2 linked regions of the Tamandua tetradactyla genome follow. The protein of the gene in region 1 purifies or fractionates together with the protein of each later gene. This does not show direct contact. Links are inferred from orthologs where the notes say so. Each region holds a gene or a part of one and is shown on either strand. Other genes may lie near its edges.

The links. Proteins that work in one complex are often made in the same cells at the same time.
Region 2: the proteins of PPP4R2 (region 1) and DHX38 purify together in Homo sapiens (affinity purification with mass spectrometry; 3 studies listed by BioGRID and IntAct, counting the BioPlex papers as one, with this or other methods). This does not show direct contact. The link is inferred for Tamandua tetradactyla from reciprocal best matches to the Homo sapiens genes PPP4R2 and DHX38.

What each region holds. Positions count from the first base shown.
Region 1 is NC_135341.1:10,712,154-10,719,374, reverse strand, and holds the start of PPP4R2 (serine/threonine-protein phosphatase 4 regulatory subunit 2), read left to right. Parts: upstream 1-4,202; 5' UTR 4,203-4,324; coding exon 4,325-4,358; intron 4,359-4,369; exon of another isoform or gene 4,370-4,702; intron 4,703-5,316; coding exon 5,317-5,398; intron 5,399-7,221. UniProt on the Homo sapiens protein: Regulatory subunit of serine/threonine-protein phosphatase 4 (PP4). May regulate the activity of PPP4C at centrosomal microtubule organizing centers.
Region 2 is NC_135342.1:66,664,343-66,671,850, reverse strand, and holds the start of DHX38 (pre-mRNA-splicing factor ATP-dependent RNA helicase PRP16), read left to right. Parts: upstream 1-4,498; 5' UTR 4,499-4,813; intron 4,814-6,802; 5' UTR 6,803-6,821; coding exon 6,822-7,144; intron 7,145-7,507; coding exon 7,508-7,508. Other genes in the region: TXNL4B (thioredoxin-like protein 4B), read right to left, coding at 1-41, 1,421-1,552. UniProt on the Homo sapiens protein: Probable ATP-binding RNA helicase. Involved in pre-mRNA splicing as component of the spliceosome.

The sequences.
Region 1 (7,221 bases):
GGAAGTGTGCTCTCACTTGTTTCTAAATGATGCCTTCTTTCCCTCAGACTGCTCATTTGCTTGGGCTCCACATGGCACTATATTGCCTCCTCTGCGAGTCTGGTTAGTTTGGGGGGCTCTGGTCCTCCCTCCCCACTCTGCTTTGGGAAATCTCCGCTGCCTGGCCTCACTGCCTCCACATCCATGAGCACAGCAGCATGGTTTACGCTGGGAGATCCTGGGGCCCAGCCATGTTTGAATGGACACCTGGCCCAAGCTAGGCCAATCAGATATTCTGATTGTGATTGCAAGATGGTGGACAGTTGTCTTAAGAAGTCATTTCATATGAGGACTTCTATACATCAGCAGTGAACACTGAATGAAAGAGTGAGAGAGAGAAAGACAGAGGGAGAGGATGAGAGAGTGAGAGAGATGTATAGAACTGAAGAAGAGAATGGCTCTTTGATTTGCTGAGATCCTATGGAAAACTCTACTCTTCTAATAAAATCCCATTTCTCTCATGCAACATGAAGCAACTTCTATCATTGTAATCAAACTTAACACATTCCACCTAGGCAGCACCACTCTTTACCAGTCTCCTCCTTTGACACTGCTCTTAAACCCAACAAGATGACCAGCAGCAATCACACCAAGTACACATTCTAATATGCAACTAATGACTCAAAGGCATGAATAAAAGGCCCTGAGAATGAAAGAAGCTCCAAAGCTTTATATAGTGATATTTTAGCCCAGCCCTGTTCTCTTTTCTCCAGCTTATATAGACTGGATGTTGGTGTTTACTCAATTTCCAGCTCTTGTCTCTTTCCACAGACCCATCTCAAAGGGACAGCCAAACTCCAGTGATTCGCTCCAGGGTTATAAGAAGATCCTCTCATATAAATATTTTAATGTTTTCACTGTCCCGCTTCTCTTTCTGTCTCAATCGCCTATCTCGTACTCTGTATATTCTCCAAGTTCAGGCCTTTTCCCTCTTGTACACACCTAGAGCAATGGGCCTTTGCCTTGCCAGCACTCTTCCTACATGTTCATGTGTGTTTAAGGTCCTCTCCTCTGTTAGAGTATGAGCTCTGTAGAGGAAAGAAAGACTACACACTCTCTTCTCCCCAGCACCTGGGAGGTCCTCGTGGACTGTTTGCCTTGTTAATGCCATTCTCTCTACCTGGAAGGTCCTTCTCTATAGGTGCAAATATTTTCCAATCTTTAGACAAGGCCCATCTTAAAGCAACTTTCATTCCTGCCTGGAAGAGATTTCACAGGACTGTGAATACCTGATTTGCATACTCGTCTTCTACCTTGCACCAGGGTCTGTGGTTAAGTCTTATCTCTCCTGATATTTTGCAAATATCTTGAGGACAATGGAGTCAGTATAGATTTGAATCCTTACTTGGTCACTTGCCAGCAAACTCGTGTGACTTGGGAAAAGTCATTTCACCTCTCTCTATACCTCATTTTTCTCTTCTGTTCAGTGGGGATATTAATATCATCTACCTCATAGACTGTTGTGAAGATTAAATTAGATATTTTTGTAAAGTGCTTAGAGGAGTGCCAGGCACATGAGAAGCACTTTTAATAAATATTAGCCATTACTATCCAAATTTTTATTATGTTATTAGTTATCTATTGCTGGGTAAAAATTATTCTGGAATTTATTGGCTTAAAACAACAATAAGCATTTTTTATCTTTCATATTTTGTGAGGATGAGGAATTGAGGATGGGCTTAGATGGGTAATTCTGACTTGCAGTCTTTTGTGAGGCTGTAGTTAAGGTGTGAGCTGAGACCCGCAGTCTTCCAAAGGTTTTCCTGGGACTGAAGGATCCAATTCCCAGACTTCAGCTCTTCATCATGTGGGCCTTTGCATGGGGCTGCTCTAATGTTCTCATGACAAGGCTCTCCCAGAGCGATTTATCCAAGAACCAAGGCAGAAAAGCCACAGTGCCCTTTATGACCCAACCTCAGAAGTTACACCCCGTTACCTCCACCGTGCTCTTTGGTCACCCAGACTAGCTCTGTTTCAGTGTCGAAGGAGCTACAAAAGGGCATGAAGCTCAGAGGTGAGGATCATTGGGGTCTGTGCCACATTCATATTCAGTTTTCCTCCAAGAGAATTAGTGCAAGCAGGGTTAGCAATTATCGATTGTGGGATACTTGCTGGCTAGGGAGGAATTCCAAGGAAGAAGGAAGAAATGAATAAAGGAAATAACTCTTCATCTCTTGCCTCTTCTCCCTTTCCACTTTCAGCTTAAGTCAGATTCAATTTCTTATGGCTCTTTAGAACCTACCTAACTCTTTTCTTCCATTTCAAGGGCTTCATACCTGCAGTTTTTCTGTTTGAAAGTTCCTTCTTTCCACTTCACTTGGTGACCTTCCTCTCACTAATTCAGGTCTTAGCTTAAATATGACTTCCTCTGGGAAACTTTCCCAGTTTCCCTTAGGTTGTCACTGTGAGGTGTCTCCTATCACAGCCGGTATCCAGTGTTTGGAAGACAGCGGTATCCCCAAGTGATGGGAACAGCTGAGGAAAAGGGACGAAACAAGGAAGAAGAAATTAGCATGGTGTGGTCCTCTTACACAGTGCTCTCCAAAAGAATGATAAGGGAATTTTCTGTATCCTGAAGCCACATGTGGTTACTGAGCTCTTGAAATATGGCTTAGTGCGACGGAGGAACTGAATTTTTAATTGTATTTAACTTTAATCATATTTAAATACCAACATGAGACTAGTGGAAATTTGTATTGTACAATATGGCTCTTACAGAAAGACACCTGTCTAAACAGAGGACAGAGTGTCAGAGACAAGTGGAGGCTAAACTTTGCCAAGTAGGGAGAATGGGCCCCTTGAGAATAGAAGGTACCATGATAAGCCATGCTAAACCATGGTAAATGCTTGCCAAATATTTGATGATGATATTCTATTACCTCTCCCTGCAAGATTATTTGTAATTGAGCTGAATACTTTCCAATATAAAAAGGTATAAAGACACAGGGATCTGATCTTCTGATTGCAAGTTTTGAGAGAGGTATTTTGGGGGATTTTACCTACATCTGCCACCTAGAATTAGGGTCAGAGCCCTAGTTTTTAAGAGGGTCAATAGTTGTAATGGCTGCATCCAAATCTGTCTTCTAACACAAGTCAAGAAGCAAGTTTTCTCCAACCTCCCTCCACCCTTCTCCTTCCTTCCTTTCATGTCAGTTTGATAGGCTTTAAGAAGTGAAGGTGGAGCAGTTCAGTACCTTCTCCTTTAAAAGCTCAGAAACAAGAGAAGAATATAAAAATATCCACACACTGGCTGGGAGCCAGATGTTGTCGGCTGCTGTCTTGCTGGACTTGCTCTTTCTTATTTGTAAAATGTTAGTGCTAGAGAAGACTTTTGAGGTCCCCTCCCTTTTTAACTTCCGGGGGCCTTTTGTAATGTGATCATAATTGTAATGATAGTAAAACCAGCAGCCACCTTAACCAAGCGCTTACCAAGTGCCAGACACTGTGCTAAATGCTTCAGATTCACCATTTTATTCAATCCCATTTTATAGATGAGGAAACTGAGATTCCGTGAGTTTGAGTAGCTACTCCTGGGTCACACAGGTAGTCGTGAGTGAAGTTGGGATTTGATTCCAGCTGATTCCAACCCTTGAGCTCTTAATCATCTTGCTATATGAATTGCTTCTCTTCATGGGTGGGTCAGTGGTGAACGGTGGGTTCAGTATTTAGTAATACTGAATGTTTTTATGTGTACTCTGAACTCCACGCCTAATTCTCTACTAGTTCGCTTGGTAGTGCCCTCATTGTACCGATGGGGAAATCAGTGAGGCTCAGAGAGACAAAGTAAATTGCTCAAGGTCATATAGCGAGCAAATGGCACGGATTCAAAACCAGGGAAACTGCCTCCAAACCCTCCCTTAACCCTTCGGGTCTCCAGCACTGCATAGGCACGTCGGGGAAATACTACGTGACCTAAGGCTGGGACAGCCGCCGTCAGTCCTGGTCGCCGGGTCGGCCCTGGCGGCACGCCCCCGCCGCGCACGCGCTCTTGGGCTCTTGGGCCGCGGCGCGCAGCGGGCGCGAGGACGGCGGCAGGGAGCGTGCGCGCGGTGACGTGCCCGGCGCCATGTTGGAGGGCTGGTGGTAGCGGCTCGGGGAGGTGCTCGCTCTCTCGGTCTCGCTCTCTAGCTCGCTTCCCCCGGCTCCCTTCGGTGCCCCCCCCCGGTCGCCTGCGTGCCGGAGTGTGTGCGAGGGAGGGGGAGGGCGTCGGGGGGGTGGGGGGAGGCATTCCGGTCCCCGTGAGACCCGCGGAGGAGGCGGAGGCTGCGAGGGACTCCGGGAAGCCATGGACGTCGAGAGGCTGCAGGAGGCGCTGAAAGGTGGGGGTAGCTGCCCCTCTCCCATCCTGCTCACCTTTCGCGTTCCTCTCTTCTCTCTCCAGAGAGGGTTGTTGTGAGGACCGGGGCTGGGGGGAGGGGGCGCTTCCCAGTTCCCATCCCCCTTCCACCTCCCCAGGGGCGGGGAGCCCTGTGGGCAGCTCCCTCCCGCCCTACTCTGGCTTTGTGTCGACCGTCGGCGTCTGGGCTGGGGGAGGGGATCAGGGGAGGCCCTTGGAGGGGCCCTAGCCCCTGTACCCACTTACCCGGGGGCAGGCTGTGGGCCGGCAGCCCCTTCCCAGACAGGCTCCGTATTCCGTCAGATCCCCACACACCAGGCGTTGGGGGTGAGAGAAAAAGTAAAAGGTTAGGGGTGGTGATGGTGGCAGAGCAACTTTTAAGTTGTCTTAGGAAGCCTTTCTGGGCTTCTGAAGTCATCCTTCCACGCGCCCTTGTTCTAAGGGGGTCGCCTTCCAAGCAACAGGCTTGAGAACAGTAGGTTCTCAAACTTAGGCTATTGTGATTTAAACGTTTTGAGAATTATGCTTTGACATTCAGAACTATTTGGGGGAGTTAACGTGGGTTGGCTGGTGCTTGCAAAAACCCAGGTTTATGGACCTCACCTCCATAAACAGTTTGTGGGGTTCTGGGTCTGGAAATTACTATTCTATCCAGATTCCCAGGTGAATCAGATTCTGGCGTTCCGCTGGACCACACTTTGAGAAACACTGCAGTAAGGCGGCTGTTTGTGGAGAGGTCGAGTGCCCCCTTTAGGAGATCATTGTTACCAGTGAAGAGTGACATACTGAAGTGAAACTTCAAGGGTGGAGGTCAATATTTGGTTGAGACGCTGATTTTTTTTTATTACCCAGGACAGGCAAGATCTGGGAGGAAAGTTTGTTTTAGAGAGAATGGTTGATAGGCTTTGAGAAATAATGACTATTTTTGTTTTCTTTTCTAGATTTTGAGAAGAGGGGGAAAAAGGAAGTCTGTCCTGTCCTGGATCAGTTTCTTTGTCATGTAGCCAAGACTGGAGAAACAATGTGAGTTGAAAACATGCATTCATGATAATAGACTTATGTATCATTTAGTATTGTATAGCAAAGGGAAAAAAGTACGTTTTGGAAGAATTAAGTAACTCAGCTGTCTAACCCTACAGTTAGTTCCCAGTTTAAAAAACTATGTACTTTATTAAGCACATTTTCTGTGATGAACTTTTAAAATTCATTGATTTTTTTATATTTACATTTAAACCCATTTAAAATTTATTAGTCTGAAAGAGCTAGAGAAAGGAAAAATGCCTATTCCATTATAACTGTTTTTGGCTATAACAAACAGGGATATTACCAGAATTTTGTGGCTTTGATTCTATTTCAGATTCTTTTGTTAGTGTTATTTTCTCATTGTCTTGTATCCAACCGTTTGTTGTTGTATTTATATTGGTGGGTGTTTGAAGTGTCACTTCTATTCTCTTGGGGGCTCGGAGTGATTATCTGACAGATTCCAGATGCTACAGTTTTGAATGTCCTGTAAACTTTCTAGGATAGCTAACTTGTTACATATGCTCACCATTTTATTAGGCTTGTTTCCAAGTGTTCTGAATCTGAAACTTACACTATAAAGTTTAGGACTGTTTTCAAAAGGAACATTCCTGTTGACTGTTGTGTGTGTGTTTGGCAGGAGTTGTTTTCACACTGTGGCTAAGTTAAATTTTAAAGGGCAGTGCTTGATAACTTTTTTTTGGTAGTCTTTTCTTTGGGTGTCGGTGAGGGGAGCGGTAAAGGGAAAAGGTTTCTTTGGGTACAATTTTCATAAATGAGCTCTCTTTTGGCTCCCATACTTCTTGTCTACTTTTACAATTCTTTTTGAGGCCTAAAAGTGTAAGCTTCGGCAAGTGATGTATTTAAGTTCTCTGGTTTTATTCCAGTTTCTTACAAGAGTTCTTACAAGATTTGCTTAGGGTTGAAGTCTAGCCTTCTAATAATTAATCTAGTTTTAGAAAGGAGAAAAGACTCTTATACCCTAATGCTTGATTTAATGATGATGTAGATAAGCTTACCCTCCTAAGTGCTCTATTAAAATACAGCAGTCAGCTTAAGAATATGACTGTGATGTGTTCAATCATATATTTCTATGTATTATATTTTTAAAATGGACCCTTTAGGAAAAAAGATTAAATAGCAGTTTTACACCAAAGTATAGTTTCTTATAGAATACCTTGATTTTTAAAAAATTCTACATAATAGCTAATTTGTATTTAATTACATAAATAAGCCTAAATATGACTAGATATCAGTTTCCAAAAATACAGTTGCTAAAACATAGATGCTTGGATCTCCACTGTACTTCTTGTATTACTTGTTGGTCCAAATTAATTCCTTTCCACAATATCAAGAGAAAGACGTATACAGGATTATGTCAGATTATTTGTTTAGAGAAACAATAAGAGAAGGAATCTTTAGTATTTATCAGTTCTGTACAAACTGCCTTCCCTTTCTGATAAAATACACTGGCTGCAAATGTTTGAAGAGTTGAAAGCTTTTAAGATCATTTTAATATCTTGTCTTCCTGGCTGACCAAGTAGCAAGGGAAATTTGACCTAATTTTTCTGTACTATTTGTTTATTTCTATTGGCCAAATTAGGTGTTGGTATCTTTGCTAAGAGCATTTTGTATTAAAATGATTGGCATTCTTAACTTTTAGTAGAGTTTAAAATATGGAATTTTTTTTTATTTTACCATTGAAGCTAGTGTTTATACATTTAGCTGTAACTTTTGATTTCTTTTTATTAATGCGGGCATGCTTTTTGATAGTGGAATTTAGAGATTCTGTTATCCATTTGTGGGTGAATTGAGCTCTCTAGTTT
Region 2 (7,508 bases), on another chromosome or scaffold:
ATAGTTGCCATTTTACTCAAGTCAGGAGAGGTCTTGGAAAGCTGTGAATGCAGACAGAGATGTAGGTTACAATATGTGAGATAGCTAATGTTTCTTCTTTGAAGCTTTTTACTAGAATAGGAAGTTTTATTTGAAAAAAATTCCTGGAAAGAGTCTAGTCCTTTTGGGATACACACTGTGCTACACTAGACAGAGTGTAGCCTTACATTCAGAGTCTGAATAACTGCTGACAAGGTTATGAGAGGGCTCTGGGTAAAACTATATGAATATATCTCCTCCTTCCATTTATTTATTTTCCCATTTCTGACTGTTTTTATAAAAATAATCCGTATTCACTTGAAAAAAATCAAAACAACTCAGAAATATGTACAACAGATACTAAAGTCTCCAAAATCTCTTTCCTTCTAATCCCCTCAGAAATGATAATTATAATAATAGCAAATATTTACATGGCACAACTTTGGGTTCACTGTTCTAAGTACTTTACATTTGTTAATTCATTTAATCCTTACAGCATTCCTATGAGATATGCACTATTATACTCCCCATTTTGTAGACGAGGACAGTAAAGCACAAGAGGTAAACACCTCCCCCAAGGTCACACAGTCAGGATGCAGTAGGCCTGGGATTTGAACTCAGGCACCCTGTGTTCAGAGTCTGTGTCCCTGACTTGTATGCTATTCCCTCTTCCTCTCAGTTGGTCTCTGTTGTTACCAGGTTAACATATCATATGCTTATTTTTAATCAAAGTAATGAGGATTTTAATATTCAGGCCACATTGTTGATGAGAGCAACAGAAATGGTGGGAAGAAGTCTTAGTCCAGGATGAAGGCTCTCTCTATGATAAATGGTGACAAGAATAAACCTAATGTGTCCCATACTCTCCCTCCCTACTCATCAGAGCACGAGCCTGTGTCATGAAATCAGAGATCTTCACCAGGCACATACTGGAGGCAGCACACTACAAAAACTTATCTGCAGCCAGAGAAAACTAAGTTCAAATCCCAGCTCTGCACTTTAGTGGTTTGTGCCTGTGGGAAGCTACTTGACCTGCCTGGTGGTAGTTTCTTCCATGCAGAAAATTGGGCTAAAATAACTCCATTGTTGTGAGACTGAATAAGATAATGTTCATAGATGCTTGATAATAGTGTTTTCTGTTCTTCCACTGCCTGGCCAGTAAAACCAAACTTTGACAGCAGCTGATGGCAAAGGACAGCCAGGACAGATTCAGCACGATCACAGATTTGGGGGTTCACCTCAGTTCAGGGTCAAGCCCATGGTCAACTCTTTGTGAAAGTGTGCTAGTGAATGAACAGTCATAGCCCTGGGCCCTGCCTGCTCCATTCATGCACTTTGTAGATGCTGAAGTGAGAATGCATGGATTTTTAATTAAAACCATTTATTTAAAAAATTTACTTACAATATCGTCTAGTTGCAGGCAGACAGGATCCTCATCTCTCCCAAACCTGAGAACCAATACCTTCTCTGCAGTACTTTTTATTGCCTGGTCTACTTCTTTTTTGCTAGTCAGCTTGGGCAATAAGAAGCTCATCTTGAAATAATCCAAATACAAATCTTCACTGTTAATTCTGAAATTAAATCACAGTGTTTAAAGACAGTTTAGATTAAGTACATGAAACTAAAATTAGTTTAGTTTTTTTGGTAGGTAATATATTCACATAGTTTAAAATGAAACAATATAGAAAGGTCTCCTGTGCCTAGTTCCATTGAACTGTTTCTTCCCCTCACACCACGTAACTACTCGCATTAGTTTCTCATGTATCCTCCAGAGTTTTGTTATACATTCGTAAGAAAATAAAAATATGTATTCCTATTTTTCTCCCTTTTTTTACCCCAAAGTTAGCCTATTTGTTAGAGTCAGTGTTCCAGAAGAAAACAGATGGCTTCTACCTCCAAATTTGATCATCTGAAGAGAGTTTAAGTAAACAACAAGATACAGTGCAGTACTCTGGGGCTAGTAATAGCAGGGCACTCTCCCTACTCCTAGGCCTGCAGAGGCCATGGGAGGGATAATTACCAATACCAGGTAGTGAAGAGAACTGAATGGAGAGGGCCACTGTATAGGATGTCAGCTTGCATTAAGGAGATGTAGTCACTCTCTTCCCTCTGTACAGTGTCCTGCTAGGGCTCCCATTGGCTGACTCCAACTGGAACTAGAGGGCAGGAGAGTTGGGGAGGCATGCCAGCCTCCCAGATCACAGAGAAGTCTAGAGAAGGAGGACTGGATATAGAGGGACAAATGGAGGATGGCTAGTGCACACACTACTCATTATGCAAGTCAGAGTTCTCTAACGAAACAGAACTGACAGGAGCTATCTGTAAATATTATGAAATTCTTATAAAACTTGTTCAATTGACCATGGAAATGCATAAGCCCAAATTCCATAGAATAGGCTGTAAGCTAGGAATTTCAACAAATGTGTTTGATGAATTCCCCAGAAGAAGGAGACTCTGATGAATTATCCTGGAGAAGCTGGCTGGCTGAAGGAAAGATGTAAATTCTCTAACTACTGAAATCATTATTTCTTTTAAAGGCTTCAATTGATTGGATGAGATATCTCACTTTGTTGAAGTCAGTCTCCTCAGTTGATTGTAGATATAATCAGCCATAAATGCAATCAACTTAGTAATGAATTAAGTCCACGAAATGTCCTCACATTAATCAGGCCAGTGCCTGCTTAACCCAACAGCCCCACACTATCATCTTGCCAAGTTGACATGTAAACCTAACCTTCACACCCACTCTTAGGCTCTTTGCATTTTTTACCTTACCTATAAAAACCTTCCCCTATCTCTACATAGAAAACTCCCTCATTCTTTGTCACAACCACATACTATTTAATGTATGTACCAAAATTTTCAATTCAGTCCTTGATTAATGGACATTTGTATTATCATTATTCCTGGTTTAAAGATTCTTGGTGAATACCTTACCACCCAAATGGGTGAAGACACCCCTCCACCTATTCCATCTTAACAACCACTCTTGATTAAATCACATCAAGATCACATCAAGATGTGACTCCCTAAGTCATATCTCCAGGGAGATGTTCTAATTACAGTTTCAAACATACAATACTGAATAGGGATTAGAAGAAATGGCTGCTTTTACAAAATGGGATTGGGATTAAAACATGGCTTTTCTAGGGTACATAAATCATTTCAAACCAGCACATAGGTGCACATAGAAACTGGCAAACAATCAAGAGCGTATGTGAAAACCACCATTAAATAAACAAAATACTGAGGTGAAAGGACGTAATCTATCCCTCTCAATTTTCAGACTAGTTTGCTTATAGTTACATGTTTAGCTACTAGAATAAAGACTAGATCCAGGCCACTAAATTTCTATGCAGTTCTCCTACTTTTACTCTTGGAAAAAAATTCATTTTTGAGAAACATTTTGTGGGTGCAGGGACAGGCATTTATAATCCCTGCTGGAATGTAGAAAGGCAAAACCTTTCTGAAATGAAAGCTGAAGTACTTTTTTCCATTTCCTAAGAAATTAATTAATTCTTAGGAAATAACCAGACATAAAGATTTATGTACAAAGGATATTCATTGCATTTATAAGGTGAACACCTGGAAATGGCCATCAATTGGGGATTGGTAGGATAAATGATAATACAGTCCTGCAATGTGCTATCACAAAGCCGCTAAATATAGTTAAAGATGAACATTTAGAAACTGAAAAATTCTCTATATTGCCAAAGAAAAAAGTTAGAAAACAGTTTATAAAGCGTGATCCCAATTTTATATAAAACCTAACTATAATGTAGTTAAGTTATATATGTATATAACTACATGTATATAGTATGTGTATACAGTATATAACTACTATATATAACGTAGACTATTACATTATATACATGGAAAAACAACTGGAAATAAATACCTCTATACATCATCAGTGGTGATCTCTGCGTGTGGACAGATGGGTGACTTTCATGTACTTCGGGGGGTGCCTCTGTATTTTCCAAATATTCCACAATAAACATGTATCAGGAGAAAAAGATCCAAAACACTATTTTTTAAACGTCTATGGTTGAGCTACTCCTGATAGGAGAAGACACCTGCCAGGGACGACCATGGCCATACCTACTTTGCCTGTACAAGTCACCTTCCTCTCTTCCACTTCAGGGTTGTCACAAACGCCACCCTTTCTAGAAAGAGCCGAGATGCGGGTGGCGTCCCTTTTTTCGGCCCCAAGCCGGGCAGCGACTCAAATACAAGAAAACCCTCAGGGACTGATGCCTACCAATACTGGGGACCACCCTGGCGGGGAGGAAGCGTAAAAAGAAAACCCACGGGTACTGCAGACGAACCCGCGGCAGCTGGTCCGGAAGGCCCAAAACGCAGGAGAGGTTATTCTAGTCACTGCCCAGAGTGACCGGAAACCTAGAGCCACTTCCGCCCTTACTAAATGTGACTTTCCCTCTCCACCCCCGCCCCAACACCCTCAGCCTAGAGGCGGGGTCTCGCCTCTTAGGCTAAGCGTGATTGGCTCGCGAGGTGGGCCCGGAAGTGCTTTTATTAGCGCTCTAGGAGAGGTCACTTTAGCCTTGAGACCCTGGACGTGTTCGGTTCCTGTCTTGGATCCAGGAACCGGCGTTTTCCGGCCTGCTCTCTATGGTATCTTCGGGCACCTAGAGGGTCCACGCTAGGTATCATGGGACAAGGATGGCCGCGTTCAAGGTGCGGATTTTGGCTCTCTGAGGTCGCCTGAGGAAGGGTGGCGTTGCCAGCGCCCCAGAATCTGCGACAGAAGGGCCCTGAGAGTTGTGCTCGTGCGGTGAGTGTCCCTTCTTCCTTTCTGACCTGTCCTTGCCAGTTACCGGCGGCTCCAGGTGGCGAATATCGGTCCTTTGCCTAGGTCCGGGCTCTAGCTTAGAAAGTTTCTCTTTCCGCCACTGTCACCCAACTTGCTTTACTCACCTCAGCGATGTTGCACTCTCACCGAAGTCCTGGGATGCTGCCCGTCGTTGCCCTGCACCCTTCCTTAGGCTTTCGCATAGCCTACTCCCAGAGTACCAGGCCGAGTAGGGTTCCTTGTGTTCCCTCTTCTCCCAAAGAGTGGTCTCTTACCCAGGCGATCTGGTGGGTGATCTCTGCTAAAATGTCAGCTCCAAGAAGGAGGGGATTTTTTGCCTGTTTTGTTCTGTTCTATCCCTATTGACTAGAACAGTGATTGACTCAAATAATCACTAGCTCAGTGATATTCATCGGCGCAATGAATAAACGTTGAATTAGTAAATCCAGTTTCGTCACTGTTTTTCTTGTACCTTTTGTGGCTTCTTTGCCGTCGGTGCTCCAAAATCTAGGTCCTTGATTATTTGTTCTCAGCAGCTAGTTAATTCCTCGCTGTCAGACACTTTGTCTTTGCTGCTGGTAACCTTGCTTGCTGTCTCTAGAAATATATGGCTTTCTGTTCTCCTGTGATACGTTTAAATTCATTCATTCATGAATGAATGAGCATTTATTTTGCTTGGCACTGGCAAAATGCTAGTCTCTCATTTGCAGACTAACATTCTATGGTTATGTTTCCTAGTTCAGACTGTGGCTGAGTTGAGCCTGTATTGCTCTACTTTCCTGTTTGGATCTCCTCACATGTGTACAGATATGTAGATCCCCTTTCTGTTCTGATGGCATTTTTCACAATGCAGCTCTTGTGTCTGACTCCATATCATGTGCCCAGTGTGTTGGCAGTGTTGTGTTATAGGGCTGTTCTTGTTTGTTAGAGCTTGGCAAAAATTTTGGGTTCTGGTAGCACCCTGTGCCTCCACAGTTCCAGTGTTTTACTGACTTGTTGGAATGACAGGCTTGTTCAAGCAGTCATAACAGGTGTACATTTACAAGTGGGTCTGTGTAGTGAGAGGTAAAGAGAAATTTGTTATTATTGAGGGACAGAAAGTCTCACAATCACTTAAAGAAAATACTTTTCAGAAACCCATTTCCTAACTTAGTGTTTCTTATCAATGTTTTTGGTGAACATGTATTGTTATTGTACAGGTTTTGACTGTTAGGTGGTAATCTGTTTCTCTAAAATACAGCTGGTCCAAAAAATGTCCTAGAACGTTGATGAAATGGTTGATAGCCTCATACCCCAATATCTGTACTCTGTTTTATCTGCAGTTTAAAGGGAAGGAGGGTTAGAAGAACACAGAAGACACGTGTAAAAAATTTGTGAGGGAACCAATTAATATCTAGGAGTATGGTAAATAAAATAATGTAACAACTACATTCATGTAACTCTTTATGATTATGGAGATCTCTTACATATACTTTCTTGTTTGATCTTCACAATAATTCCACGCATTAGATAAAGCAAAAATTATTTCTGTTTTACAGATATAGAAACTATGGATAATCAAAGATTAAGTTATTTATTTGCTTACAGTCATGCAGGTAGAAAGGGTCAAGGGCATGGACTCTTCTAATTTAGGTTTTCTGATTTCAAATCTGGCGGTATTTCTCCTTCACTGCCTTTAAAGATACCGTTATGCTCTAGTAAGAGTCTCTTTATGAAGTTTGTTCTTGCCTGTCTGATACTCTCTTGGATCTTGGTTTATCGTTGGGGTATCTATTTTTGGTGTGTGTTGGGGTGGGACTAAGTGACTAAATCTTGGCAAGAGGTAGCTAAAGAAATCTTGGTCTGGGAGTGGGGTGTGGTCATTGTTAACTCCCTAAATAACCTATATTACCTATAGTTATTCTGCAATATGGAAGAACCAAGCCTTTTCCCCTTTTATTTCTCAGAACAAATAATATGTCTTCCTTGCAGACAACCCCCAGAGTCTGTAATGGAGGATACCAGTGAGGATCCCACGATCCATCGACTGGAAGGGACTGATCTGGACTCTCAGGTTGGAGGTCTTATCTGCAAGACTAAAAGTGCGGCTAGTGAACAGCATGTCTTCAAGGCCCCAGCTCCCCGCCCTTCATTGCTGGGACTAGACTTGTTGGCCTCCCTGAAACGGAGAGAGCGAGAGGAGAAGGATGATGGGGAGGACAAGAAGAAGTCTAGAATTTCTTCCTACAAGGACTGGGAAGAGAGCAAGGATGAACAGAGGGATGCTGAGGAGGAGGGCAGTGACCAGGCTGGCCGAAGTAGCCGAAAAGACAGGTAAAGGCTTTATGATGGGTTAACCTAGAGGGAATGAAAATGGAGACTGGAAAATAACAATCAGTATGTATCTCTGTTTTCTTGTTGGACATTTAAACTTTCAGATTTTATTATGATTTTGTAATGTGAGATTAGGTAGGAACTGGTATTTTCTTCATATTTCTGGGGACCTTTCAAAGGTGACTAAAGAGTAGAGGATGGAGGTTAGAAATATTTTGAGTTGCTGCTGTATATAAGCCTGTTGTACCAGGAAGATGAAGTGAAATAGGACAGGTCACTTGTTTGGCATAGCCAAGAATTTCTTTTGGGGCAAAATTTCTCTCCTGTAGAATGTCCCTTTACCAGTTACCCTCCCTGTTTCAGG